4 linked regions of the Astyanax mexicanus genome follow. The protein of the gene in region 4 interacts with the protein of the main gene of each other region in a pairwise test. Links are inferred from orthologs where the notes say so. Each region holds a gene or a part of one and is shown on either strand. Other genes may lie near its edges.

The links.
Region 1: the proteins of nudt18 (region 4) and hsd17b14 interact in binary tests that used the Homo sapiens proteins (3 or more experiments, as listed by UniProt). The two-hybrid records come from large-scale screens. The link is inferred for Astyanax mexicanus from reciprocal best matches to the Homo sapiens genes NUDT18 and HSD17B14.
Region 2: the proteins of nudt18 (region 4) and dhps interact in binary tests that used the Homo sapiens proteins (3 or more experiments, as listed by UniProt). The two-hybrid records come from large-scale screens. The link is inferred for Astyanax mexicanus from reciprocal best matches to the Homo sapiens genes NUDT18 and DHPS.
Region 3: the proteins of nudt18 (region 4) and evi5l interact in binary tests that used the Homo sapiens proteins (3 or more experiments, as listed by UniProt). The two-hybrid records come from large-scale screens. The link is inferred for Astyanax mexicanus from reciprocal best matches to the Homo sapiens genes NUDT18 and EVI5L.

The regions. Positions count from the first base shown.
Region 1 is NC_064426.1:17,506,266-17,514,035, forward strand, and holds the start of hsd17b14 (17-beta-hydroxysteroid dehydrogenase 14), read right to left. Parts: upstream 3,024-7,770; 5' UTR 2,874-3,023; coding exon 2,786-2,873; intron 2,649-2,785; coding exon 2,610-2,648; intron 1,029-2,609; coding exon 931-1,028; intron 822-930; coding exon 755-821; intron 618-754; coding exon 526-617; intron 1-525. UniProt on the Homo sapiens protein: Catalyzes the NAD(+)-dependent oxidation of L-fucose, yielding L-fucono-1,5-lactone, which rapidly converts spontaneously to L-fucone-1,4-lactone. Can also act on D-arabinose and L-galactose, with lower catalytic efficiency. Does not use NADPH.
Region 2 is NC_064426.1:39,363,998-39,371,621, forward strand, and holds the start of dhps (deoxyhypusine synthase), read right to left. Parts: upstream 3,005-7,624; 5' UTR 2,857-3,004; intron 1,341-2,856; coding exon 1,146-1,340; intron 98-1,145; coding exon 1-97. Other genes in the region: guanine nucleotide-binding protein G(I)/G(S)/G(O) subunit gamma-7, read left to right, coding at 5,100-5,195, 6,261-6,386. UniProt on the Homo sapiens protein: Catalyzes the NAD-dependent oxidative cleavage of spermidine and the subsequent transfer of the butylamine moiety of spermidine to the epsilon-amino group of a critical lysine residue of the eIF-5A precursor protein to form the intermediate deoxyhypusine residue.
Region 3 is NC_064428.1:27,241,984-27,248,885, reverse strand, and holds the start of evi5l (EVI5-like protein), read right to left. Parts: upstream 3,006-6,902; 5' UTR 2,776-3,005; intron 1-2,775. UniProt on the Homo sapiens protein: Functions as a GTPase-activating protein (GAP) with a broad specificity.
Region 4 is NC_064419.1:30,331,503-30,338,724, forward strand, and holds the start of nudt18 (8-oxo-dGDP phosphatase NUDT18), read right to left. Parts: upstream 3,018-7,222; 5' UTR 2,800-3,017; intron 2,664-2,799; 5' UTR 2,573-2,663; coding exon 2,414-2,572; intron 1,068-2,413; coding exon 854-1,067; intron 1-853. Other genes in the region: adam9 (disintegrin and metalloproteinase domain-containing protein 9), read left to right, coding at 5,220-5,301. UniProt on the Homo sapiens protein: Mediates the hydrolysis of oxidized nucleoside diphosphate derivatives. Hydrolyzes 8-oxo-7,8-dihydroguanine (8-oxo-Gua)-containing deoxyribo- and ribonucleoside diphosphates to the monophosphates. Hydrolyzes 8-oxo-dGDP and 8-oxo-GDP with the same efficiencies.

The sequences.
Region 1 (7,770 bases), on a different chromosome or scaffold from region 4:
GAAGCTTTGTCAGAATCATCCTTACCTTACAGCACTTTGGTCCTGAACATGGTGGTCGAGAGGTTTGAATGGAAAGGTGTCTTTTTTTTACACATAACAAGGTGATATATTAAGAGTACTTTCTTAAAGGGACAGGACTAAATTTTGTGCAACCTGGGACAGTGTGCATTTTTGGGGTCAGAAATCTTGCTGGTTGGTAGGGAATCAAATACTTATTTCACGTAATCAAATACAAATTCATTTATTACCTTTACCTTTACTTTTAGGTGTATTTTTATAAACATTATAGACTGTTTGTGTCTTAGTGAGGTTGTTTCTATAGACTTTTTCCCTTAGTAAATGATCATCTGAAAAATGTACATATGATAAAAAAGCAAAAACTAAAGAAATCTGTAGGGGGCAAATATTATTCACAGTACTATATAGATTTCTGCACTAAAATATGCAGTGCATGACACCTATTGATCACAAGACAGAAAGTTGGTAGTACTGGTTAGACAGGGGAGACTGGTTTGGGAGCTTCACCTTAGATGCGAGGAAGTAGTTAATCAGGTTGAGGTTGAGCAGGTCTTTAAACTCCTCTGCGGTTGTCTCATCCGTGGGTTTGTGGGGGGGATCTGAAAGCGAGAGGGACAGGGAGCGTCACTGTTAGATCTGGGTCAAACTTTGCTTTCTGTAGAAGTGAAACAAAGCGGAATCTCCAAAGTTTGACTAAGCAAATAAATTAAACGGAAGGATGGGGTCAAGTACTCACGCCAGCCAGCATTATTAACCAAACAGTCTATCTGTCCGAACTTCTCCACAGTCACAGTGATCAGTCTCTGAGGAATAAAAAGAGAGACAGAAGGTAAACAGACAGTAGTATACAGAAGCCAGGGAAGACAGGATAAGGGGAGGACATGGGTTTCATAAAAGGCTAAGATGGTGCACCTTGATATCTTCTTCCTTGGATATGTCACAGGGCAGGAAGAGACAGGAGCCTGGACCTGCTGCATTTAGCTCCGCCTCCAGCGCTTTACCTGCATCAGCTAATGAGAGAGGGCAGGTTTTAGATATTTCAATAAAGAGGTAATAAGTAACAAATAAATAAACATGCACTAATTAAGCCCTTCCAGTAACTGAACAGAATTATATCAACTGTTTCTCCTGTTTCTTCTTTTTTTATTATTAATGGACAGATTTTTTTTACATTAAAATCATTAAAATCTCACAAAGTCAGTTAAAATAATAACTTACAACAGTAAAGAAAAATAACAGATTTTTTTCAAAAGTAAAATACTCTGGTTGCTTATTGAGAAGTTAATACTAAGCTAGGTAACTAATAAAAATAACACAGTAATAAAGTGATTAAATAAATATGCACATTAGTTCTGTATGCTATAGACAAAAATCCAATATTTGATAACACTGATATTGATGTGAACAGTATAAATTTAAATTTAAATTATTTTAAGCTCCTCAAATGTCCCCCACCTCTAACTCACCATTAGGGTGTAAATATTCTCCACAGGCCCCCTGCTTTTGTATTTTGTATATGTGTTTAACCCTGTCCTCAGTGTTAAAGGCTAAAAAAGCAAGTTGCTATGCCTTGTGTTGCTGAGTGTATATAGACTATATGCTGAATGGGTCACATGACTGGTAATAATACAGATATGTAATAATCATGAATTTCCAGTTCCTAACGTACATTAAAAAACATAGTTTTGCGCCCACTGTATTAATTTAATTAATGTAAAACGTGTTAATGTAAACATTTAGTAGTACTTAAATGAAGCCAACTAAAAACACAAAGTGAGTTTTTAAGTTGATGAGACCTATTTTAATATTTGTAAACTAAATCTAAACTAAAGCTTTCTAGTTTGCACAACTGGTGGTGTGTTTCTTCAAAAAAATTTAAAAGTTTGAGTTGGCAACAAAACAAAAAAATTTAGTGCAGTAAGTTGCCTTAAAATGTTGAGTTATATATATATATATATATATATATATATATATATATATATATATATATATATATATATATATATAGAGAGAGAGAGAGAGAGAGAGAGAGAGAGAGTAAGAGAGAGAGAAAGAGAGAGAGATGTCTGGAAAAAGTTAAGAGACAACGTTGTTGTTTTATTATATAAACTATGGACAAAATTTCTCTCAAATTCCAAATAAAAATATAGTCATTTAGAGCATTTATTTCCAGAAATGAGAAATGACTGAAATAACAAAAAAGATGCAGAGATGCGAAGAAAACATTTTTTTTTTAAATCAACTAGAGATTTTTATTGTATTTAGAAAACCATAGAACTATTTAAACACTGAATCGGTTTCCTGAATTGACAGGGTTCTGTACAGAATAAACACCTTTACAACATAACCCTGAAGAGAGGCGTAGACCAGGTGAATAGATAAGGAAGAGAGAATGTGAATAAACACACAGAAGTGTATATTAAGTACATATTATTAAGTAATAAACAAGTATTCAGATAAATGTGTGCAGCTCTATAGACAGGAAGTGAGGACGTAATGAATAAGGGAAAGAGGTAAAGAGGTAAAATATAAATATGAGTGCAGGCAGAAAGTAGAAGGTGTACAAATGTGTAATAAACAGGTGTATTTACCTCCTCTGGCGCAGAACACAACTTTAGCCCCATTCTGCACTGCAAAGGTAAACAGCAGGAGAGCCTCGTTACACACACACACACACACACACATACACACACTCTTATACACAGATACACACTCTCCGTTCACACTGTTCCTCCTCCTCCTCCTGCACCTGCTCTCCAGTACCTACCGAAAACCTTCACGATCCCCCTGCCGATACCCTTCGACCCCCCGGTCACCAGCGCCACCTTCCCGCTGTAGCGCTGAGAGCTCGCCATTCTGCACCTCCAGCAGCTCCAGCAGCAGCAGCTCGATCAGCTGACTTCCCTCTCTCTACACTACACTACACTACACACACACACACACACCAATCAGCGCTGCAGCTCTCCACCCAAACACCAACCCCAGCCTCACACACAAGCACATCAGGCGCACAGCACGAGCTCTGCGGCGGTGCATTGTGGGAATTGTAGTTTGCAGCCCCAGCAATAATAAGACCTACACCAATCAAGCATAACATTATGACCCCGTCTTTGTTAATATTATACACCAGGGGTTCTTTACCTGGGGGTCGTTTTGAGACACACTTCCAGGGGGTCGCGTTTTCCCAGCTAAATTTGCGTCAAACTTTCAAACCGACTCTTTCTTAGGCTTGATTTGGGGTACGCTTAAATTAGGTTGCTTTTTATAAAGTTTAAACAGAGTTCCGAGGACTGAGTTCAATGGTGTTGAAAAAACTTCAATGCATTAAATACTGTGTTTTACGAACTGTATTATAAGGAAATTAACGTTTATTTTCTAGTCTATTTTATACATAAGGCTGGATGTTAATCTGCACAGATTTCTCTCCTGAAAACGGTTTATTTGGGTGAGTAAAGCACTTCCGTTTATTTACATTAAGCTTACATTTCCAATATTTTTGTGCGATTAGCAGCAGTGCTAGCCGTGGTTAGCAGTGCTTAGTGGTAGTAAATGCTGTCCGACAGTTCCAGTAAGCCAGGGGCCCGTAAGCCAGTTCGTCCCACGTAGTTTTAACGTTATAAACATGCAGTTCAAAATACTCAGTAGTAGCAGCTAAAGCTAATACTGCTTCAGCCTCAGTACTGGAAAAACTTCACTGAGACTCCTTTATAATTCCTCTGCCGTACTTCAGAGGAATGGCTTTTCTGCTCCTTACAACCTGACTGGTAGAATTTATACATAAGGCGCACTGTCGATTTTTGGGAAAAATAAAGGGGTTTAAGTGCGCCTTATAGTTAAAAAAAATCGGTAATCAAACTTCTGTAAAATCCATTTACAAAAACTAAAAAAAAAAACATAAATAAATTAAAACGCACAGTATCTCACTAAAAAAGAAGTAAACCTTTTACATTTTTGTAAATATTTTGTTATATATTTACAAAACACTGATGTCATGGTGTGGTACAGAATACAGACACTCGCGGAACCAGTTAAGGATTTTATTGAAAACCCACAGGCTATATAAAACAGTAGCAAAGAGTAAACAACACCGGTAAACAGATACCAGGAGGTAAAGACCATTACCGGATAGTGAGGCAGTCCAATGGTCATACACGGGGCAGGCAGTATCAGAGATAATCCACAAACAGCAATGATACACAGTCCAGAGATCATACACGAGGCAAGCAGTATCAGAGGTGATCCGAAACAGAAACGATAAACAGTCCAGGTAATACACGAAAATCCACAGAGTGAGCAAGGCAAAAATCAAGGTCGAAAAAACAAAAGGCAAGGTCATACACAAGAAAATAATCACAGAATAAACACTTTGTAATGTGGGGGAAACAAGGCAATACGCGGCGCAGATGTGTGTGTGAGCAGTCCTTTTATACTGCAGGTAATAATCAATATTCAGCACTTCCTGGCCGGGGCAGGTGAGGTGTCACGTGATCGGCAGTGTGTGTGATGTCAGTGGGTGGTGCATTCTGGGTGTTGTAGTTGTCTAACTGAGAACCTCAGTTGAAGCTAAGTGTGAAAGGACAGGGAGCGCCTACAACACCAGATGTGACAGCTGAAGATGTGACACATTTATATCTAAACCACTGGCAACAATCCTCTTCCACCCTCCATGACAATGACCTTGCATTGCTCTTCCTTTCCTTTAAGGATGCCCCACAGATGCTCATTAGGGTTTAGGTATGGAGACATGTGTGAGCATTCCAGCGAGCACAGACTGTGCATCAACAGCTTTTGTCTCTGACTTTACATCTACAAGTAGGAGCAGCCATGTAGGAGTGTCTAATAAAGCACACCGTCTGGGTCCACAGTGTTTAAAAACTCTGGCACTCTATCTATTTCTACATACTAGGTGGTGGAAAGGAATAAGCATGGGCAGCTTGGCTGCAGCTATGCAGTCCAGCTATGCCCTAAATTGAGGTGGAAGCAGGGATGCTTGAAGCTATAGAATGTGTTGTTGAGGCCCGATTTGTCATTCAAATCAGTCACAGATCCAGTTTTTCTGGTCTGATGAGTTGGGATTTGTTCTCTTTATGAAGACATGAAATTGTAGTCTTTTGTAAAGGATTGCTTCGAAGGTTTGTCTCTCTTGTTTCTGTTGTGAATATCTAGTTTTAGGTAGATCTGTTTCCAGTTTAGAAAAAGCAACTTTTCAGCTCAGAAAAAACAGGGTAATCAGTGTAAGTCAGTGTAAGTGTTTCAAAATCTAGTGCACACATAGATTCTAAACACAAAAAGAATATACTGACCTGTAAAAAAACCTGTGAAAAGGAACAACTGATCTTTATTTAAACAATACAGAGAGGTTGAGGTAACATATAAAACTGTTAAAATTCTTCTTATAATCCATAAAATGGTAAAACACCCTCACATTAAATGCTACTTAAACTGTCAAAAATTAGACTCAGCTACAGATGACTAGAACATAGTTATATAGGATTTTGGAGGTCTAGTTTGGTTTGCTCTTGATTGTTGAAGTAAGTTGTATCATCATGGACCAAAAAGCTCCCTGAGGCCTTTGAAAAAAACATCTGTGCAGTTAATGCAGTTCTGCAGCTTTCTTGCCCTCTCACCAGTCCACCTTTGAATGCATTCTGAACAGGTTTCTCAGTTTTCAGTCTTTGTCTGCCACACCCAGTTTTAAGAACACTTTTTCTCTGCTTTTGTGTAGAATATTCTGTCAATTTTGTATTTTTTATTATGGTTGTATCATATTTAAAAGGGAATGCAGGCTGAAGTAGCTACTGCTGTGGGCATTCATCATAAAGTAGCCAACTATGCTAACTTTCCAGTAAATTTAGTCTATTTAGAGTTATTTAGAGCATATTTAGAGCGTAGCTGACTAGCTCTTAAACAACATAATGGGGCAACACAGAACTTAAAGCCACTGTTGTTCAATATATGGTTGAAGTTGTTCTTTTCAGATTTGAAGCACCTGTGAAGTGGACTCATTGAGTGCTGTGAGGCTATAAAGGAAGACATTATTAGCCTTAGAGATAACCCAAAAGCCTGAAGAGCACCAGACACAGTAGCTTCACCCGAGCCTTCTAATTGAGCCACTTCTTTGTGTAAGGATGTTCTAGTGATGGTTATCCCCCCCACGAAATTCTAAAAGCAAATGTAGTTACGTTTGGGTGAATGTTTCATGCAAGTCTCCACCTTTTTATATTGTGTTCATAAAAATGTTGTTCAAGCTAAAATCTCCTCCTTTTTTATTTTTTATAATTTTATTTCTATTTTTTTTCCCCATTTTATCCCCAATTTACACAGCCAATTACCCAACCCACTCATTAGGACTCCCCCAATCACTATCCTAACACACCAGGAGGGTGAAGACTAACACATGCTTCCTCCGATACATGTGAAGCCAGCCACTGCTTCTTTTCGAGCTGCTGCTGATGCAGCATTGCCAAGCAGCCAGCGCGAAGGAAAGCGCAGCAACTCGAGTATGTCAGCTCACAGACGCCCTGTGCTGTGCTGCCCTGTGCTGCAGACATCACTGTTGGATTGACATCTGGAGAGAGAGAGCGCCATCTACCCACCCAGAGGGAGCAGGGCCAATTGGGCTCCCTCTGAGCGCCGGCAGCTTGATGGCAAAGCTGCATGAGCTGGGATTCGAACCTGCGACCTCCTGCTCATAGTGGCAGCACTTTAGACAGCTGGACCACTCGGCGCCCTTCTCCTCCTCTTCCCTTTTAAAGGAGCATTAGGGATTATATTTTCTGTAGTTACTCATAACATGACCAGTATGTATCATCATCAGATATTAAGGAAACGTGATATTTAAGCACTGGCAGCTCTTGTCAGTAGAGCTTTTTTTTCTGTAGTAGGTTACAGAAATCCATGGAGATCCATGTAAACACAATAGCGAGTGGAAATGAAGGAGCTACTGAACGTGATGTCATGTGACAGAGAAAGCCAATAAATTCTCTGGTCCTCCTGTTTTTTCGATTGCACTTCAGATGCAGGAGTTTTATCAATGAGTAGAAGTGTAAAATATCCCCCTGAGAAACTAATCCCATACAGATAAGGCTTAAGTTACTTTTAAGTTACTGCCACCTCTACATAACTAATTATTTTGCCAAAATTCACTTCACTAGAAACCTTAGCTGATACAAACTCAGAATAGTGTCTGTATTTCCAGCTAGAAAACGTGCATCTCTTTCCTCCCTCCACTGTTACTACCGTAAGTTACGCTTTACTGACGTCACTGATTGTAACAGAACTGCCAGTTGGAGTTCTCCTCCAAGCGTGTTGAGCTCCAGTGGTGCTGTTTTAGTGGCAGTGTGGTGGAAATCCACATGTATCAGAAGAAGCACAATAGGAACTAAAGCAAGCATTTAGTCTTTAATCAAAAACATATTTGTTTAGTGTGTCCTGTTTCTGCTGTTTCTTTTTATTTTGACCATGCTATGTAATATATCCAGAGCTTTGCTGATGATCTTCTGTAAATAACTTTTTTTAGGAAAATGGAAAGTTCTGTCTTTATTATTATATTTATTAAATTGCATATTAAAATGTGAGAAGTGTTTTTCCTGAAGGAAGTGCAGAATGGTTTCACAGCTTTCGTGGCTTGCACTTCCATGCAAGTGCTACATTAGTGCTTTGGGTATTTGTGGTTGTTTTCATGATGTTGCTAGCTGGTGGTTATGGTATTCCAGAAGGTTGTTTTGGTGTTGTTAAGAAGTTTCTATGGTT
Region 2 (7,624 bases), on a different chromosome or scaffold from region 4:
CCAAGAAGATGGTACAGCCTGAACGACCCTGCTGAGAGTCACCAGCGTCCTGCTGCTCCTCCTCCGGCTCCTCCACCACCTCCAGCCTCTTCTCAATCTAAACACAGCACAGGTATTACAGGTCCTTCAGAAGAGACAACATAAGATTTATGTCCAAATGTCTGTGGTTTACTCTTTTTCAGCTGTGTATTGGCAAGAACTTGGCGATATGATACATATCAAAATGCAGATAATAATAATAATAATAATAATAATAATAATAATAATCATTTTAACAAGTTTAATAAGTTCAACTTATATATCGCCTTTCCCAAACCCAAGGACACTTTACAAATACAGAAAAAAAAAATATATATATATATATATATATATATATATATATATATATATATATATATATATATATATAGCAAGATATTGCAATACTGTTAGCAAGGCAATATAAAACTAAGTAAGTTTAAACTTTATTTTGTACCCAATCAGAACACTGCTGTCTAGTGGGCGGGGTTTAAACCTAAACATAGAATGAACCACTTCTGACACCAATCTTAACAGCATTGAGATTTGAAGTGGAACTGTATTCTCTGGACTGATGGTGCTCCATCCATTACTGTTAAGTAGAGATGAACAATGATATTAAAATTATATCAGTACTGGCTAAAAATTACTTTTTTTTTAAACCAATATTTACTGATCTATCTATTGTATGCCGGAAAAGTTGTAGTGGGATTTGTGGTCTTCCTGTGAGTTATAAATATGTACATATATGTGTATACATTTGTAATATTGGCCCAAAATTTCTACATTAGTGTATCCCTACTTTTAACATATAGAGGGAAGTTGGGGAGATGTTAAATGCTGCTTACACTGGATGTTTATGCAAATGAGTGTATATACAGAACCAGTCAAAGGTTTGGCCACTTGGACACTATTATGACTCAAGTACTACTAAAACAATATGACTAAGAAATGAAGGTCAATCCGTATCCTCAAATGCAGTCACTACAAAGACTATCACAGAAAGGTTATGATGAAACTGGCTCTCATCAGGACCACCCCAGGAAAGGATAAGCAAGAGTTTCCTCTGTTGCACAAGACACGTTCATCAGTAATCAAGTAAAGTAGACAGAGGGAAAGAGTCTCACCATTTTGTTAATCTCCTGCACGGCCAGGCCGAAGCTGCTGGCCTGGAAGCCTGTGGTGAGGTAGGAGTGCAGCAGGGCTCGGTGATCCACCCCCTGGTTAAAGTCGTAGCCTCGGATCCGCGGCACGTCCTCCGGCAGAGCGGCGCTCTCCTTAAGCACCGCATCCCTGGCCACGGAGGGCACACTGTCCGCCATCTGTAGATAATGCACAGAGTACAGTAATACTGTCACCATTACAGATATTTAGGTTAGGTTACTCTTACAATAACTGATATTTTAAGTGCTGTAAATTTGATCTAAAAACTATTTGGTAGCAGAGACTTCCTGACTGTCAGCTGTGGTGTTTTCTGTAACATGGTGGTAAACACTGGTCACTCCGATTACTGCTGTACAGTAAAAAATCCAATGTTCTTTCTGTCTTTTTCTCTCTCTCACTTACTCGATTTTCAATTCCACCTTAAATGCAGCACTTAGGCTTGTGTGCTTGGTTACACAAAATCTACCTTCACCATGCGTTAGTCGAACAATAGGCTCTTTTTCACATAACAAACTGCAGGAAATGGCAAATAAATATTCAGAGTATGTAGAATATAATTCAAACAAACCTTAAATTCAGGGGTTCTTTTTGTACTTGTCAAAAGGTGACAAATTTTATTGAGATAGGGATTTCATTTTCCAGCAGGACCTGGAACACTGCCCGCACTGCCAAAAATACCAATTGGTCTTACAATATAATATTCTAATGTTCCTGGTTGTAAGTCATTATCATCAAAAAGAAAATAAATAAACATTTTAAATAGATCACTCTGTAATTTTCACATTTTGAATAGAATTACTGAAATAAAAAAAGTAACTTTTCAATGAAAACCTAATTTCTTTGAGATGCACCTGTACACTGAATAGCCCTATTTGAGTAATGTTCTAATCCATATTATGAGAAGCAAGACCTACTCAACTAAGTAAATAAAAAAATACTTTAAGAAATGAAGGTCAGTCAATACGAGAAATTTCAAGAAATTTAAAAGTATACTCAAGTGCGGTTGCAAAGACAATCGAAAACACAATGATGAAACTGGCTCTTATCAGGAGAGCAGGAGTTTACAGCCTCAGAAATGATGCAACAAGCATCAGAGCCACCTCTTTTGGTTTGTTTAACACTTTTAAGTTACTACATGACTTCTTATGTGTTCCTCCATAGCTTGGATCACTTTAGAATTCATTTACAATGTAGAAAATTATAAAAATACAAAAACATTTACTAAAAAATTGTGTCTTTTGACAGGTAGTGTATACTGTACAAGTCCAGGCTGTATTTGACTATTTTTTCTTACTGGAATTTTCTATTCCACCTTAACTAGAGCCCTGGATACACTCAGGCTTGTGTATGCTTGCTATATGTCTACACAGGATCTGCTGCATCATTTAAGGTGGAATGAAAAATTTGCTCTGCACAGGTTCTTATGACTGAGAGAATGAATAATAGTGTCGATAACGACAAGAACACTTCTAGAGAAATGGTTAAAAAAGGCTTTTATTTATTTAATAAAAATAAAAACAGACTTTTATTATGGGTGTGTTATTGATACAGCAGCAGCAGTGCTGCAGTAATATAAGCAGCTAAATGAGCTAAAGCTAACAGGACTGTAATAATAAACACTGATCTGAGAACAGCTTTCTTGTGCAGTTATTACTGACTGATACACACACTTACCCTGCAGGAGCTGAATCCGGATCAGGAGCTGGAGCTATTAATTATCTGTATTGATCTGTATTTATCTGTTATCTGTGTTCAGGAGCAGATGAAGCTACACTGCAGCCTCATCACTCACACTGATCCCACGTTGTTGCTACAAAGTACGGCGGCCACGTTGGGACAAACTAGTGGAGGGAGACGGATTTCGCGTTCGAACAGTTTTTATAAACGTTAGATTAAATCAATCAATTTTTTAATTATATATTTTTCTAATTCTTTATTTTCACACAGTAATATATTAAGGGCAATCCTCATTTTTAATGCAGCAAGCATTTAAAACTTGAAGGGACTAAAAAATAGATTTAATTTGAATTAAAATCAAGAAACTTCATAAACAATATCATAAAAAATAAATGGAAAAATTATTAGAAAACAAGCAAACAATATAAAATTGAATAAAGAAGAAGTAAAATAATTCAGAATAAAAGCTTAAGTTGACAGGCAAAAATGTAAAGCAATAAAATAATAAAATAATTGCAATAGTACAATTTATAAAATAAAAAATAAATAAAAGGTTCAATGAATGAAATTTCAATATAAATAATGAAAGGTAAAAGGCCAAAAGTTTAATAAATGAAATAAATAAAAAGACAAAATAAATCAAATAAAAAGTAAAAGGTAAAAAAAAAGGTAAAAAAAAAATCAACTAAAACAGTTAAAGTTACAATAATTTAGTGATACCGGTCAACCCTTATTTTTACTCTGTAATACATTAAGGGCAACCCTAATTTTCAATGTCGCAGAGCATTTAAAACTTGAAGGGACTAAAAATTTTAATTAAAACGAAACTCAAGTATTTAATCAGGAGAGCTAAAATAAGGAACTTAAACAAAAAAACAAAAAACAAAAGATATGGTAAAAGTATTTGAAAAACAAGCAAAAAATATAAGATTTGCTTTAGAAGAAATTAAATAATTCAGAATAAAAGGGGGCTTAAAGAACACTCAAGTCACTTATTTAATAGAGCACTTAGAGTCTGTCTATAGAGTCTGTCTACTGTCTATCGATAATTTTAAGAATGTCTTACCAGTTAGTTCTGAATATATAATTTTAGTTAAGCTCAGTTAGCACTCTGAAAAGGGATCTGGGAGACAAAAAAAATAATAAAAAAAGCATAAAACAACCAACAAAACATAAAAAAACAAATAAAAAAATATTTATAAACATATTTATTTCTGTAAAAATGTTGAGCCTTTTCTTATTTTTGACATGCATTTACTAATGTGACATTTAAAAGAAAATGTCTCATTTAGCAAAATGTCTGTTAACAAGTATATGCGTTAATATAATTCATCCAGGTATTGCAGGTCTTTCTTTCCTGCTGCTGTTAGACTCTAAAACCAACCCACATATACACACTTCATAAACACACACTTAAATACTACATACTTATAGAAAATATATGTTTTTTTGTGTAACATAATGTAAAATATTTTTTTTCTTTATCCCAATGCAATTAAGAGGCAATGTGCAATGTGCAATTATTTGTAAATACAATCTACAATCTAAAGAGTTTTTGACTTTTTATGATTTATATTGTATATATTATATTGTTTATTTGATCTATTTTATTGTAATGAGTGCCTTGTTATCCATTTGCTGCTGAAACACTATGAATTTCCCCACTGTCGGACTAATAAAAGAATTATCTTATCTTATCTTATTTTATTTTGTCTTATCAACAATATTACAATAAGGATACAATAAACAATAAAACAGGTTATTTGGGAATTGTAGCAAACAATGATATAATGTAGCAAAGTTCTGATATGTCTGAATTAGATTTTTAATCTGTTTAATGAATTTAATGTATTAGTTTTATAACATTTGTACTGTTGTTAAAATATTTATACATATATAATTATTTTTATCTTATAAAAAATCCATTATGAATAAACTGGGTAAAAGCTAAACTGACACACACACACACACACAGGTCAGCAGCTCTATATATCCCTCCAGGGCTTCTCCTCTGATAGTGTGTGATGTGGGCCTGACCTTTCCACACCTGCCTGTGTGACCTTTCAGCTCGGCCACATCACAGAGCTGTGTGAAGTGGTCTTCAGAGTGACCGCAGGTGCCCGGGGGGGATGGAGGGTGGGCACAGGTTAAATAACCTCCACCACGACTCTCAGTTCCATATCTCCATATCACACTCCATATCTGAGCAGGACTTGGATGACCTGATGAGGAGCTGAAGGATGGAGGCTGGGAAGGTGTACAGCAGCAACACCGTCCTCCAGGCCAGGAAAGCGGTGGAACAGCTGAGACTGGAGGCCGGCCTGGAGAGGATCAAGGTAGGCAAAAGGTCATGTAATAACTTAAAGGTGTTAAACAAACCAAAAGAATACTCTTTGAAGCACTTACTTGTGGTTTCTGAGGCTGGTAACTTTGATGAACCTTTCATTTTCCATAAATGTAGTGGTCCTGATTAGTGCCAGTTCCATCGGAACATTTTTTGCGACATTGCGACTGCGTTTAAGTTTAGTTTCAAAGTTTTTGAAATGTTTCGGGTTGACTGACCTTCATTTTTTAAAGCTCATGTCTGTAAATTTTGGGATTTGGGGGATTTAATGCCCTCTCTGGTGAGAGTGGGTAATTGCACCGAGCATGCGGAAGTCATTTTAAACTGGGCGGGTGTGATGGGGTCTCCTTTCAGAGCGGATGAATCCGATTCCAGGTTATGTTCAGTCAAAGAGAGAGAGAGAGAGCGCTCAGTCAGAAACTTCACTCCTTCGTTTCTTTGCTTTTACTATGAGTAAATGAATGAGCTACTGAGCTCTGAGTTTCCCCTTCTGAAGTCTCCATTGCTCCACCAGCTGCTCGTGTTCAGTAAAACTGAGCCGGATCCTCTTTTAGAGGCTGTACTTGTGACCCAAGTATGTAAAGACACATGACATGGCCAGAAGAAGAACTCCCGCGAAAAGCGACATGACACCCAGCCTGAATTCTAGGTGACTCTACCTCATAAAGCTGACTGAAAAAAAATCAGCCAAGAGGGGCTACTTTGAAGAATCTAAAATATAAAACATATTCTAGTTAGTTTAACACTTTTTTGTTTACTAAATAATTCTATATGATTTTCTTCATAGTTTTGTAGAATGATGACTTTATTGTTAATCTGCAATGCAGAACATTTTAGAATAATTAAAAATAAAAAACTCTAAATTTAATGACTTAAGGCTTTCTGAATGAAAGAAAGTTTGATGCTACTGTTTTAGGGTCTCAGAAGAAAATGTATTGTTGAAATTTTGATTCTTCTTCCTAAAAAAACAAAAAGAAATAAGCTAAGTAATAACCTTAACCCTATTGGCTGGGCGTCTGGTGATAGTGATAGTGATGTAATGCCATGTTTCTTGCAGATTTCGGCTGCAGCTGCTCAGCTGGTTCAGTACTGTCAGGAGAACCGGCGTGGAGATCCACTGCTGACCGGCATCTCTGCCTCATCAAACCCTTTCAAAGACAAGAAAACCTGTGTGCTGCTATAGGAGAACCAACAACCATGAAGCCACACATGCATCACTAATAAAGACAATGAAAATTCTGGTAATCTGTAAGAAATAATATAGCATATTTATATATAGCATATGTAATATAACAAGAACACCAAGCAAAACCTACATAATATTTTAAAGATGTTCTGACTCAATGTATCTATCCATCAGTATAGCTTTTGCCCAACTTCCATGCATCCCACACATCAACTTCCAGAAATGACTGTTCACTTGCTGCCTAATATGTAGATAAGATAAAAAGTGCCAATATAATGTGATAATCAATGTTATTTACTTGAATATTCAGGCTGATTATTGTAGACTGTATATATATTTATATTATGAAAGGTAATACCCAGTAGTGGTATCTAAAGCTCTCTTTTAGCATCACTTGTGTTGTAAATGTTCTGTATTATGGATTAATTTCACAGCTTTAACTCTGTATAATGTACTGTATGCGTCCACTGACAAACAAGTATCTCCATTTTTGTTGATATTTAGTTCATTACGTAATTTAAACAGACAAACTGTCCTTTACACTGTGCCAAAATGTCTTGATAAAAAGACCAGTAGAAATACTTCAAAATGACTTGAAATTAACCCTTTTTATATCTTTTTATAAGTTTTTTTTCTCTTTCCTGTAAAGTTGCTGTTTTGGAGATACTTGTTTTTCGTTGGACAGCGACTATATACACTATTACTATTTAAAGGCAATGATACATCTTGTTTAAACTTTTTTTGTCTTTCTCTGACAATTCAAATAAGTGAAACATTGATGTTTTTGCCTTTTTACTGTTTTTTAATGCACTGCAATTTAGTTTTCAACTCAAAACACAACTCAGTTTAAAAAAAAAACACACATTATATGATCAAATAACAAATAAAAAAGGTTCACAAATGAGTAGCTTGGTTGATTTTCTTTTGTTTAGCTTCACAAGGAACAGAATCTAAATCTTTGACTGAGAACGTCACACTAGTAAATGCAGGGAAGTGTACCAGAGCTACAGATTAAGATTAATACTAACTGCAGGATTCAGGATTTACACTAAAGCTAGAGATATACTCGCTGTTTCTCCATTATGCCAATTTGCGCAAACAATTGGACGCACTGTGAATGTGTCTGTTGATATTCTTGCCTGTGTGCTACATGTAATACTGGAGGCTTCCACTAGAGGCCTCCACTGGCTGCAGTGTAGGCGGTAGGGCTGCAGCAATTAGCCAACATAATCGAC
Region 3 (6,902 bases), on a different chromosome or scaffold from region 4:
CTGTATATGATTTTGCATTTCTCAGTAACCGATGTGGGTTGTTTGTGAATAATGGATAACAATGCTGCCTTTCTTGTAGAAGATTGGATTTAATTCCTTTTCAAACACACCACAGCAAACCTGGGCAAGAAGTCTGACAATCACAATACAATTTTCTTGTTATGGTGCCCACTCTGTATCTGTATTACTCAAAATGTTAAGGGAAGTGAGAAAAACACTGCTGTATGTCTGACAATCTTGAATGTATAAAGTGATATTAGAAAAGGGTGTTGGTGTTGATGTCATATATCTGCCAGACTCTGTCGCAAGACAAATGTTTTATTTGGATGGAAAAGGATATTTTGCTGATGTCAAAACACAATGTTGTACAGATACAACATTTAGGAAACATCACATATTTGGAAAACCAACACTGAATTGTCACTTTAAGTGCCACATTAGACAGACATTTAATTTTGTCAATGACTAAACCCAAAACATACCTATATCTAACATTAGAACATTAGAATTCCACATTGTAAATTTCACATTGTACTGATGTATTTTAAACCAGTATGATGTTGAAGTGATGTCAGGAAAACAAAGGGATTGGATTACATCAATTAAAAACTAAAACCATCAAAATGTCAATGTCAACTGTCATCACTTTTTTTTTTTTTTTACACCAAACTAACATTGGAATAGACATTGTCTAGACACTGAATTTTGGTCACCTAACATAGGTTCCACATCTAATCAAATTTTTAGACATATAGGTAATCTAGGTCTTTATTCCCCCTCACTTTCATAAACCATGGTCACCATAGACTAATCCAGAAACAGTCTTTATTCAACAATACGCTTTATGGACCTTCATCCATGCAACACACAGGAAAGGCCTGCTTGGGCAAGCGTGTTGGGATTTTCCTCACCTGAACAGACAGACACTGGGCTCCCAGGAGCACATGATGGAATTTAGTTTATCAGCTGCTGGCAGACAGAAAACTTAATCGCAGCCTTTTCATCCTTTTCATTCAGCACTGTCGGCTCAAAACAAGGCAGGCCTCCCCAGAAGCAAAGCGAGCGATTAGATTGTCTGTCAGTCTAATCACAAGCAGAGGAGCTGGATAATTAATCCATTTAACTGGGAGCCAAAATGAGACTTAAATATGGAGGGAGGAGAGAGAAGAAGCACTTTAGCCCATGGCACAGAGTCTCTTCAAATTGGTCAGACAGAACAGAGTAAAATACCATCTCTCTTTCTTTGGCCACTTTGAGATTACCAGGCTGGAGTGACTTAATTTCTAATTATCTCAAATGTAAATAAGTAGATTTTTATGTATATATTAATTTTTTGTTTTCCTGCACAACAGTTAAACTGGCATCACAGGAAAACAGCAATTTACTCACATTACAGACATATACAAATTACTTACCTGTATGAATGTGAAATATCAATATAGCCAAATCTGATCTAAACAATACATTTAAGTGGATTGATCAAGTGACATTCATACAGCCCTGATTGCTCTTGTTGTATTTAAACAGAGACAGTGAGGAGAAAACAGTGATAACACACTGAGACTATGTTTAATATATTTGCCTTTGCCTTGTCTTTCATGGTATCATTGATTGACCCCAAAAACACTGGCTTGTTTAAAATGTGTACACGAAACTGAATATTACTATGACATATTATCAAGTTATTTTCAGTTTGATTGGTTGTCTGAATAGCGTTAATTAAATATGAAGAGCAAAAATGATAGAAGCATTGAAAGATGTATGAGATAATAGGAGGGTTAGCTAAATATGGAGTAAAGGGTGGTCAGCAAAAAAAAACAGAAGACAGCTCATTCTCTCCCTCTTTCTCTTTCTCTCTCTCTCTCTGTCTCATCCTCCAAGGAAAAGATGTAGACTGCAGATGAAACAGAGCACAGCAACCATTGCTGTAACGTTACATCAACATAAGCTAGTTAGCTAACGAACAGACAGTGAGCAGAAAACAGGGATAACCTGCGAGGGACAGCTAAGTGTATTTTAGTTGTATAGTAACGTTAGCTGTTTTTTGAAAGAAAAAGGTGGAAAGCTGGTTTGAATCACATTACAAAAAGCTAGTTTTAGTCCTTAATCACATGATAAATGTGTATAAGCCTGTTTTATAGCCAAACGCTAGTATATAGCCTGTGTCTCATTTACAAAACCGCTGATGGATACGTTATATCCAGTTAGATAACGCTAGCTAATCTAACATTACCTAGGTTAGCTTGGTTAGTTAGCTGGTCAACCGTTGGTGGTTGCTAAGGGGGCGCGCGCAGAACCAGCTAACGCTAGCTAGTTAGGTCATTTTCAACGTTAAAATACGACCAATTCGTTATGTTACGCTTCTGTAACGTTATGAAAATTAGGCCGAATATATTAGCCAGCTATGTATGGTGTGTAGCTACGCCTCGTCTATTTTTTCTTTACGGTGGAGAACATTTTATAGCTTGTAAAGAGCAATGGCTAACCTAGCTAAGCTAACTAACTAGCTAGTAATGTTAGCTAACTAGCTTAGATACCTAGATTTCTTAGCGTAATTTTTTACGCTATTTCCAAGCCAAGCGCTCCCCCTGCAAATGCTGAGCGTGGATGCGCAGGAATGTGAACAGAGGCCACATTTTCTAGCCGACAGCTGCATTTTAAAGCACCCAAAACAGCCAGCCATTCAACTAGCTACAATCTCTGTCTAATAAATATAATATTACAGTAAATAAGCCCGCCTTTAACGTTATAAATAACGAAAATGAGCCTACCCACCTGAAGAAAAGGACGCGTGGCTCGCGCCATTAGCGTGACAACGGACCAGCAACACCAAAAAAAACCCTCCTTACATGAAACCAAACATATTTAACGACATAAAACGATCCATAAAATCCATATTCTCCGTTCCGGAGCGTCGTGGCTATAAAGAACAGGTGAAAACGCGAGCTGTCAAAGCGCCCAGCTTCCTCCAAGGATGCCTCTTCATGGGCGCCGCCCAAGTCCCGCCTATGTCCCGCCCACCGGGACCACCCCGGTCAGTGTAAGGTTTATTAGTTCAATTTACTGACCGTTTGAGTCTAAAATCATTATTTATTTTTCCCATTCAGTATAGTACAGTAAATAAATGTGAATAAATAGGATTTAACCCATTTTTCAAATTTTCCAATTTTGCATTTCCTCCCCTCACAATCATAATGTCTGGAAAAATTCTGATTTTTCCATTTTTGCAACTAAAATCTGTTGCTAATATCCAACCTAGGTCAGTGTAACATTTAGCAGTTTAATTTTCTGACTGTATCAAACTAAATTCAAAATGAAGAAGAAATGAGATTTAATCCAATTTTTCAATAATTCATATCAGCCTTTACGCAAACAGAATTTCAAGAAAAAAAAAATTGATTGTATGAACCAACTTGCAAAATACAAAAATCATAAATAAAAGACTCCTATTTTACGATTGTGAGGTGCAGAGATGAAAAAACTAAAATTGAAAAAAAAATATGAAAAAACGTATTTCTTGTCCACTGCACTACATTAAAAATATGAAATAATACGTTTTTACAACCAATATTCTATTTTTGCATTGAGCCTAAAACGGCCAAAAAATTAAATGAATAATCATTATACTGACCCAACCTACATTTGTTACAAAATTTGAGAAAATTTGAATAAAAAAAAATCTTCTTGAATTTTAGATTATAAAAACTAGAAAAGTTTATATATTATATATTGTGGTTGTCATTAAACAAAACCTGCTTTTATGTTTAAAAGTGTCTTCATTCAAACTGTGACGTCTATGTATGTTAATTTTTATTTATTGTGTTTTTATGAATGCTTTTATTTTATTTTGTTACTGTATGTTATTTGCTATTAATTATTTGTTTTTGTTTCTTTGTTGCTCCTATCCATTCTGTGTTTGTCACAGTTAATCTATGTATTTAACACAATCTGTGCATTATATATCTTCATATTTTAGAAAATGTTGCAACAGGCACCCCGTTGATTGACTGGAGCCTTAGCCAATAGGAGAGGAGGAATCAGAGCCTCACTCAGACTGACAGTTCAGTTCTCCAGTCCCCTGTTTTAGAGTTTAGAGAGGTTAAAGTGGACAGGTGCTCACATAAATTAATGATGGTTTAATTAAATAATAATGCAAAATAATGTGTGAATATGCTCGGTAATACCAAGTCTATATGTGATATAATTTTAGATCCAGATTCAGAACCAGTTTTATTGGCTCATTAAAACATAATTATGAAATAATGTCCTGTTGTGACAAGTTAAGACAATTAAATTATCATTAAAGCTGGAATAGTTTAAAATCATCATATCCATCAGTCCATTTTTTATTTAGATTTTATATTTTAGATTATTTTAAATGTTTTTTAGTTTCTATTAATTCATGTTTAATACAGGGGGAGGACAAACTTTTTTTATTGTTTACTACATAATTCCATATGTGTCCCTTAATTGTTTTGATATTTTAATATGAATCTACAATGTAGTCAAGTCAAGTAGGTTTTTTTTTGTTGATACTGCATATGTACAGGACATACAGAGAATTGAAATTACGTTACTGTCCCTGAATGTTACAGCAGGTACAGCAAAATAAAAATACAAGTGATAAAAGAATGAGAGACACATGTCAGACAAGAGACACGAGATCATAGTGCAATGTACATGATGGAGAGTGTACCAGTTAGGTATGATGGGGGATTGAAGAAGGAATGACAGTACTAGTATAAAAAGCATTAAAACATTATTGCAAATATAGAGGTATAGAAGCTTATGGCTGGTAAAGTGAATGAGTGCATACAAGTCAGGTCAAGTCAAGACAAATCGAGTAGTTATAGGTCTATTTTGTCAAAAGACAATAGTGCAATAGTGATGGGGGGGATTAAAGAGGAAATGACAGTTCAAGTGTAAACAGTTATTTAAATGTTACAGTCATAGAAGGGAATTAAAGTGTGTAAAATAGTGCAAATATAAGCAGTAGTGCAGGTATGGGGTGTGTGAGTGCATGTGAGTTTTTGATTTAGTACTGTGTATGTTTCAGTACTGTGTTGATTGGAGGGGAGGTCAGCTTAGCTGAGTGCAAAAAAAGAAAGAAAGAAAGAACACTGAATGAGAAGGTGTGTGCACCCCTTTGACTAGTACTGTGCGTGTATACCAATTTGGAATATCTTTCTATTTTTCTATAAATCTTAAATACTGCAGTGTTAATTATGAGAAGCGGTACCAGCTTGTGTATGGCGACATCTCTCGGACAGCGCGTGAGCAAGCGAGCGGGTAAAGTGGGCGGGTTCGAACCTCCGTGCCCGCCCTCTAATCGATTGTCATTTGAACTGGCGAATCACAGTCGAGTGCTGCTTTGATTGGCGTTGAATTTGCCCAATAGAGTTTGAGTGCATTGTAGGCTTCGAACGTCCGGGAAATATCAGGCGGTTTGAGGCCTGGACACGCTGAGCGCAGAACAGTGAGCCTGATTCCGAGAACAGAAGCGGGAGGTAAAACATCAGTTTAAAATGATATTTACTAATATTTAAGACGGTGTTTAAGTGGGGACGTGTGGTAATGTATGTGCGTTTGTCTCCTTTTGTATTTTCTTTTAGCAGCAAGTTATTTGTTAGTTAGCGCGGTTAGTTAACTAGTTAGCAAAGCTAAGCTAAGCTAGGCTAGCTCTAGCGTTGTTCAGATTACTAGCCAGCTGTCTATTGGGGTTTGTTGTATTTGTGGCTGTTTGTGTTGCTTAACCACGTTAAATGCGATTTAACCTTCTACCCGTGCTCTTTATAAAACAATGTACATATCTCTGAAACACATAACGTTAAGTCAATTTAAGTGGAGCTTAGCTGGATAAATGGTGTGCTAACCAGCTAACGCTAGGTTAGATAGCGTTAGCTAGCTACCAAAGTTTGAATGGCGAGGCTGCTCCACTCGTTCATTGTCTGTCTGTGGAAAATAGCTGGTAGCTAGAGTTTCAGTATTACTGTTGGAGCACGGCGTTTTCATGCTTCTCGTGGATAAATGAGCGCTTTCAGCTTCTGTCTAAAGAAAAAATATTACATGATTTCCTTTATAAGGGTTCAAATGATTTAGCACAACTTCTAAATGTGCTGTTAAGTAACTCGCGTTAGTTGACCTACTATAAGTATGAATGGGCGCCCTCAAATCTAGAGAAGTCTAGTTGTAGATAAGCTCTATTTATCCATCATAGTAACTTGTATAATTAGAGTATGAAGTCAATAGTCAATATAAAGTTTCAGTAAAGCATATGTGTAATAATACATTTATTTGTGTATATACCCATAATACATAAACAAGTGGTGGTTAATATGGCTCTAAAATAAGCACGATATTTTAGTGTGCTTTGCGAATACTAACAACATCCCTGGCGATATGACCATTTATATTACAATTGATTTCAAAATATTTTACTGCAACAAAATAAATATTGAAGTTTTATTTAGATTTAAGATTCAAAGAGTGTATTGGTATATTGGCATCCGCACAGTAAGGAATTAAATATTTATTCGCCCCTCGCCAAGTATAACACACGAAGAGTAATAAACTGATTAAATATGAATTTTAAATTGATGTTAAATTTATATGAAGAATTTCAATATGTACATGATTACAATAGTGTGTGATGTGTGTTATTTACAGGTAGGTTAGAATTTAGTATGAATTTAAATGTTTTATAGGTTCATACATTTCAGTAGAAACAAACAAAAAAAAAACGTTTTTTGTAAGCAGTAACTTAACTAGTCTAAAAATAATGGAACGCAGTAACAGTAACTCTGATGTATAAAATAATAACGTAACAGCTAAAATCTACCTCAAAACTAAAGTGCTGCTTTTTTAGTGTATGTGAACTACTAGCAAATAATTATTTAAATACA
Region 4 (7,222 bases):
AGTGCAATTGCACTGAGCATACATAAGAGTACTTTTAAAATGTGCATTTCATAGCAGAAGAATGCAGTGGTTTTATCATCTTTCTTTGGTTTAACCATGCATGAATATGCAGATAGAGGCTGAGGTTGCTGTTCTGTTTCTCCACATTAGCAATCACTCTAGCAAAGTAGAAGCATTAGCAACGCTACTGTTGCTCAGGTAACCAACAAAAACTGTTGTGGCCAGAAAAAACTCTCGTAAAGACTTGCCAGACACCACACTGTTTTCGCCACTTGTCCCCTTCCACTTACCAAATACCACTGTGATTAATTTAAAAGAAAAGTAGTACTGAATAAAAAGTATTTTAAATGTTTAGACACTAGACGTACAGTATTTTAAGCCTAGAGGTTGTTAATTTCCACAATTCTACAGTTAAACTCACCATTTAAGGGCTCAAAGCATTATGTTTACATGCGGAAGAGTAATTCAAATTGCTTATTACTATTAGGTTAACAATAATTGAAAAGCTAATAAAGGATTAATAGCCAACTCATTATAAACAATGTCAGCTGGCTTTTGACATGAATGTTGGAAGAAAAAACCCTTTAAAGGTTTTTTGATTTCCCACCTCTGGAACATGTACTGATTTTTGACATAATAATGGGATATCTGCCATAATAGAATAATAATATTATAACTTATTAGAAATTTTGTTTTAACTACCATTACAATAATCAACATGTACAACCTACCAACTAATATCGTCATCATCATCATCATTTGCTCGCTGATCCACACCTATCATAGACCAAAGATATTCAGCTAGATCAGAGACCCTCTCTAGTACTGGTACCATGATTCACACCATCCTGACCTGTGATCTCAGCGAGGAAGGTGAAGCGGATCCACTGCGGGCCGCTTTCCTGCACCTGCAGCATGGTGACCGGCTGACAGTCCACTCCAGCCTCCTCTTTCACCTCCCTCTGCACAGCCTCCTCAATACTCTCCCCCGGTTCCATGCGGCCTGCGGGAAGGTACCACTGCCCATAGCAATCCTTCTTCGCCTCCTGCACCATCAGCACCTCCCCCTACAACCCATTAACACACACAGTTATATGTAGAGCCTTCTTTAGAGTGCATTATAGATTGTTTTAATCAAAGACTGGGCCAAATGTGTACCATCTGGATGCTTTTGAGGACTATGAGATCTGTAACTCTAATCTAATCTGAGGCCAGATTTATCAAACCTGTGTTCTTCTTGGACAGCAAATGGACAGAGTGACCTCAATGTGACCATTTGAGGATGAGATTGTGGGTGAGATGAAGTCTTCATTTGTAATTTAATTGTTGCTTTTAGGTGTAGGACCTTGTTAGTGCCATGTAGTTAAATTTGAGTGGGATAGTAGAGTATAGGAGAAGGAAATGGGCCCTATGTATAACACTAGTTTTTAGTTTTTAGGGATTTGCCATCTCCTACTACCTGCAACTAATTACACAGGAACACATTTGCCAGTGTTTTTCACAAATTATTTGGAGCTTGCACACTTTATAATTTTTTAAGCTAGCAGGGCGAAATTTTTTGTGTTTCTGGTCAATACACTTATTCTATAAAGCATGACACAAAGGAAAATATCAGGAGTGCCATATTGTGAACTAGAGTGTCTACTTAATTAACCAATGTTATATAATTAGCTAGTAATCCTAATGCTGAAACTAATGTGCATTACTTGGAAATGGTTTGTTTAGCATAGCCGGTGGAGTTCCAAAGGGTTCTACTGTATATTCTGCAGAATCTGTGCTATTTGCATCCCCAGTAAATTACATGTAGAAATGTGCACAAAAAATAACTGTAAAATACTTTTTACTATTAAGTCTTGTTACTTTCGGTCATTTAACTTATATAAAGAGTAACAGGACACATTTACACATTTGTTTAATAAATTGCATGATAATAAATGTTATCAATTTCAGGTTTGGGTCTAAGATAAAAATGGCTTTGTATATTTTAGAAAAAAACTGTGCATGCATATATAGTGATTATTTTATCGTGAGTTGTCATTAGATTTAATGTTGAAAAAACATAAGATAAGAAAATAAGTTAAAAGTTAAATAATATAGTTAAATAAAGTTAAATTTAGAAGAGTTGCTACTAGCAAATGGCATCAAGCCCAGGGCCTATTAAACTGATGTTAATCATGTTTTAACTGTAGCTAGTTAAGGACGTACAAGGCCGAAGAACTGAAGTGTGGGCTGCTGAACTAGTTTAGTACTGAACACAAAATAATGTATTTTCTAAGGTTATCTGGCATGCCACAGTTTAGAACCCCCTGTATTGGAAATATGGATGTAGGTTCTACACCACTCTTATTTTAGGGGATTTCATGTATTAAAACATACTTTAACATCTACATCCTAAAGAATGAGCCCACATTACCTTGGCATTGAAGATGACTGCAGCAACAATATAACAAACATTCGACCTAAGGGTGACAGGCTTCGGCTCCTCGGGGGTCCAGTCATATTCTGTGACCTCCAGTCCTTCACCGTTCAGGATCTTCTCCACGGTTTCTTCTTCAAGTCCCTCAGAGCCCATATTGCTGATTGGGACACCGCCAACTACAGCCAATTCAGTTTCACTTTGGTTCAGCGCCGTGCTGAGCTAATGCCTCAACCACCGGCCAGTTCTGCTCGCCGATAAAAAAAACAAGAGCATAAAATATATGTTATATCGCTTTTATTACGAATTAAAAGTTATATCAGCAAATTGTTATCAAAATGTTAACCATAAAAAGCGAAATGCGCATAGCTGTGTATACGTACCCACAACAAGCCTGCCTGTACGCAAAGCGCTGCTAGCTGCAATGCTATTGGCTGTAAGAGTAAGGGACCGGGGTTAAATGACCAACTTGTTTTAAACAACGCACATACTTTATGACTTATTTTCATTTTGGGATAAAAATACGTACTCAATATCGGAAAATAATACTGATAATAGAGATTAACTACTGTTGCTAAACAGAAACAACGCTTTAGCAAAGTTATAAGACGGATCTAATATCGAACCGCTAGATGCAATTTTACATAGTTTTGAGTACACCCCTACTTTCCCAAACAAACTGGGGCGAAGAAACCTAGTCATACTAGCTTTTCGAGATCTTACCGCAGAAACGCAAACACAACTGTAGCGTTAACTATAACGCTTGTGGACATGGGTTAAAATGCATTTATCTGTACTTATACTTAACGAGCCCAGGAGTTTTGTACCAAAACTGCGTTAGAGAAGTAAAAAAAAATGTTAGGGACACCGATGGGTGCATGTCAAATTGGCGTGTAGTTCCCTAGATAGTTAACAAGCTGAAGTAAAAGTGTAACTGATAATACCTTAAAGGATTTGACAGACACTCTTATTTAGAGAAACTTACATTTACACTGTATGGGAGTGTAGTTGGATCCTTATTTGCAGCTTCTGATACATTTAGAGCCTTATTTGATGCATTTACATTGATAGGTAAATGTGAAGTTATTGGTGTAGTGTCCTTGTGGACACATGGTAGACCACCTAAATGATGTTCCAGTTATTGTTGGCTACAGTAGTGGAATTCAACTGCTCAACTACCTGAACATATTTAAACCAGTGATATTTTTGCCTGGTCCAGCTAAATATCTGTTTGACGAAGAACCAGCAAATATTCAACCAATGATCATCTGAAGTCAGTCACCCTCAAAAGTTAGCCTAAGCTGTATTTTCTACATTAATGTCCAATTCCATGCAATCACATAATTATCAGCCAGTCAGGTATTTGATTGCCCATGAAAATCCATGAACTGTTAAGTATAAATATTAGTAACAGTCTAATGTTGCATTCAGGTTCACTTAGGAAGCTTGGTTCTTACATCTTTTGAGCTCATAAATTTACGACATGATTTCTTTACAAGTAGTTTAGGTAACACAAACATCCTATATATTGTTTTTTTTTCTTTTATGTATCTGTGTTTTTCTTTTACCAACAAAAAACAAGTATGTTCAGTTAATGTAATCAAAACAAACTTATAAACAGCAAAGTATCCAGTAGAAGTATCAGTAGCATATTGCAGTTGCTGTTATTGAAACAGCCCTAACTCTTAAAGGTACTGAGAAAAAAATCCCTGTTTTTCACTGGAAAATTAGAAAATTTTGGTGGTATTCATGTACAATAATCTTTATGACTGTGTATTAGCAAAAACCTAGAGATACAATAGGTGTCATTGCAGTTATGATTTAATATATTGCAATACAGTAAGCATCGTGATATTTACAAACAGCTCTGTAAATAAAAAAGAGGCCACTTAAAAATGATACATTTCTTTGATTTTACCAAATTGTAAACCTCTGGAATATAATCAAGAGGAAGGTGAATGATCAAAAGCCATCAAACTGCTTGAATATTTGCACCAGGAGTGGAATAAAGTCATCCAAAGGCAGTGTATAAGACTGGTGGAAAAAACAAGGGTTATTCTACCAAATATTGATTTCTGAACTCTTAAAGCTTGAATATGAGTATAAGTTTATTTTCTTTGCATTATTTGAGGTCAAAAAGCTCTGCATCTTTTTTGTTATTTCAGCCATTTCTTATGTTTTGCAAATAAATGCTCTAAATTACAATATTTTTATTTGGAATTTGGGGGAAATGTTGTGCATAGTTTTGTAGAATCAAACAACAATGTTAATTTTACTCAGATATATACCTATAAATAGCGGATTTAGAAACTGAAGTGGTCTCTTTTTTTTTCATAACTGTATTTTAAAACCACACATTCACTCAGTACTGAGAGTAGGGATTAGGGCGTAGGGAGCCACTTTGTGTAGAGGGCATTGTTAAATGAGATGTTCCCATTGTCGACCTCTGTCGTCGGTCTGGGCTTCATTGCAAATTCACGTCCGACCCTCATGAGTCTACAAGCTTTCTGTCGGATAAGCCAGCAGTCCCATTTCTGAGAGGATTACTTTGAAAACAGTCGCCTGTGTGGAGGAACATGCTTATCTCAGCAAGCTTTAACTGAAAGAGGCAGAGCGGAGATGAAAATGAGCAGGTAGCTGAAGTTCTTTACGGCTGTTTTAATTTTTTACCTCCTGATAGGAGCGTTATGTGGAGTCCAGCGGGCTCTTTGCCATTGCTGGGAAGGCGACGCCTGGATAAGGAAAAGCTACCAGAAACTGACTGTTAAAAATCCTCAATTCACCGAATTATTTTGGAGAAATAATGGCTGTTTTACAGTCTTCTCTTCGCATTCAGGCAGCGTGTGTCCTGTTTATGCTCTTCCAGCTTTGGGACTGCAGCGAAGGTAAGTAAACAGTAAACACTGGGGAGCTCCATGTCGGCTTTTTACAAGTTTCCGGTCCACCTTAAATAGTGCAGCAGTTTTACACAGCCTCGCGTCAAGGCGCCAGACCGTTACTATAGCGCTTTTTAAGGTGGAACGGAACATTCGAAGTTGAACCTTCTCAACACTGTTACAGTTTGCAGAAATCAGTGTTTTTGTTATTATGACGAGGTTTTATTTCTGTTCCATCTTTCTGAAACATTTTTTAGTAAAAACTTAAGAATATTAAGCTGTTATTTTAATTTGTATTAAACTAAAAGTTTGGGACACTTTATATATCTAGGATAGTTAACTGTTAACTAGCTACGTTAACAGTAACATTTTGAAGACTGGAAATACCTTTACCAAGACAAAAAAGAGAGAGAGAACAAATTGGGAAAATTGCTTTTTAGGTTTGTTTGTACATTTTTATATATTTAAATATATTTGACCATTTAGTCTTTTGTATGGTAGAGATGTTTTTACTGTAAGCAGGATCACGTCTAGTCTACACACAGACTTGTGCTATCTCTGACTGTAGGAATAGCAACTATCTAACCTACACGTTTAAGAAGCTTACAGGTGCTCTGTAAAAGCTTATGTGTGTTAATGCTCAATGTCTGCATAGTGAGACTACACATAGACTAAGGACACACATATCCTGTATTTCATTTTTTTGTAAAGTATTGATAATTTGTTGTAATATAAGAGAGACCAGGGGTGGTCATTAATTTTTCCAAGGGGCCATAAAATACACTGAAACTGTTTTGGAGGGCCAGACCAACAGATTCAACCCAATGTGTCTCAGTGTTATTTTTTATTTTTACAACAAGACTAACAGGCCACTTAAAATGACAAGTTTCTTTGATTTTATCACATTAAAAACCTCTGGAATATAACCAAGAGGAAAATGGGTGATCACAAGCCATCAAACCAAGCTGAACTGCTTGAACTTTTGCACCAGAGGTGGCATAAAGTTATCCAAAAGCAGTGTGTAAGAGGTTGAGGAGAACATGCCAAGGTGCTTGAAAACTGTCATTAAAAACCAGGGTTATTCCACCAAATATTGATTTCTGAACTCTCAAAACTTTATGAATATAATCTTATTTTCTTTGCATTATTGGAGGTCTTATTTCAGCCATTTCTCCTTTTCTGACAATGACAATATTTTTACTTGAAATTTGGGAGAAATGTTGTCCGTAGTTTATAGAATAAAACAACAATGTTCATTTTACTCAAACATATACCTATAAATAGCAAAATCAGAGAAACTGATTCAGAAACTGTGCTCTCTTATTTTTTTTCCAGAGCTGTATGTCGAAAAGAATACTGACGGTGTTCTAATTCGTGAACTTGCTCTACTTAAATGCTTTGCAAATAAAATGGGAAATTCTCCATGTCATATGCCAAGCAACATCAGCATTGTGAAGCAGTGGATCTGCATTTTGTGGTGATCTGCTCTGATGGAGCTCCTTCCATTGCTATTTGTATAAATGAAGTGGCAAAACTGATCATCCAACAACATCACTGATCCTCTCAGAGGTTCAGGATCTATTGTAAAGCCTTCCTAAAAGAATACTGGCTGTTATTGCAGCAAACTGGGACAAACTCACTATTAAACTCCTTAATTTAAGAAGAAATTTAAGAAATGGTGGATGAACAGGGGTCTACAACCTTATCACCAGTGTTTTTCAGAGAATAGGGAAGTGGAACTTCTTAGTCTATCCTGCGTCTGTCAGCAAGTTTATTAGGCTTTGTTGTTCTCTTTGTGGATCCTTTTGGTATAAAGATAAAAGCCTGAAGCTCTAAGTTAAAGTGTGCAAACAACAAACAATAAAGCGGCAGAAAACAACAGAATGCCATTAAATCCAAAAAAATGTATATTTGTATTTGTTTAGTTATA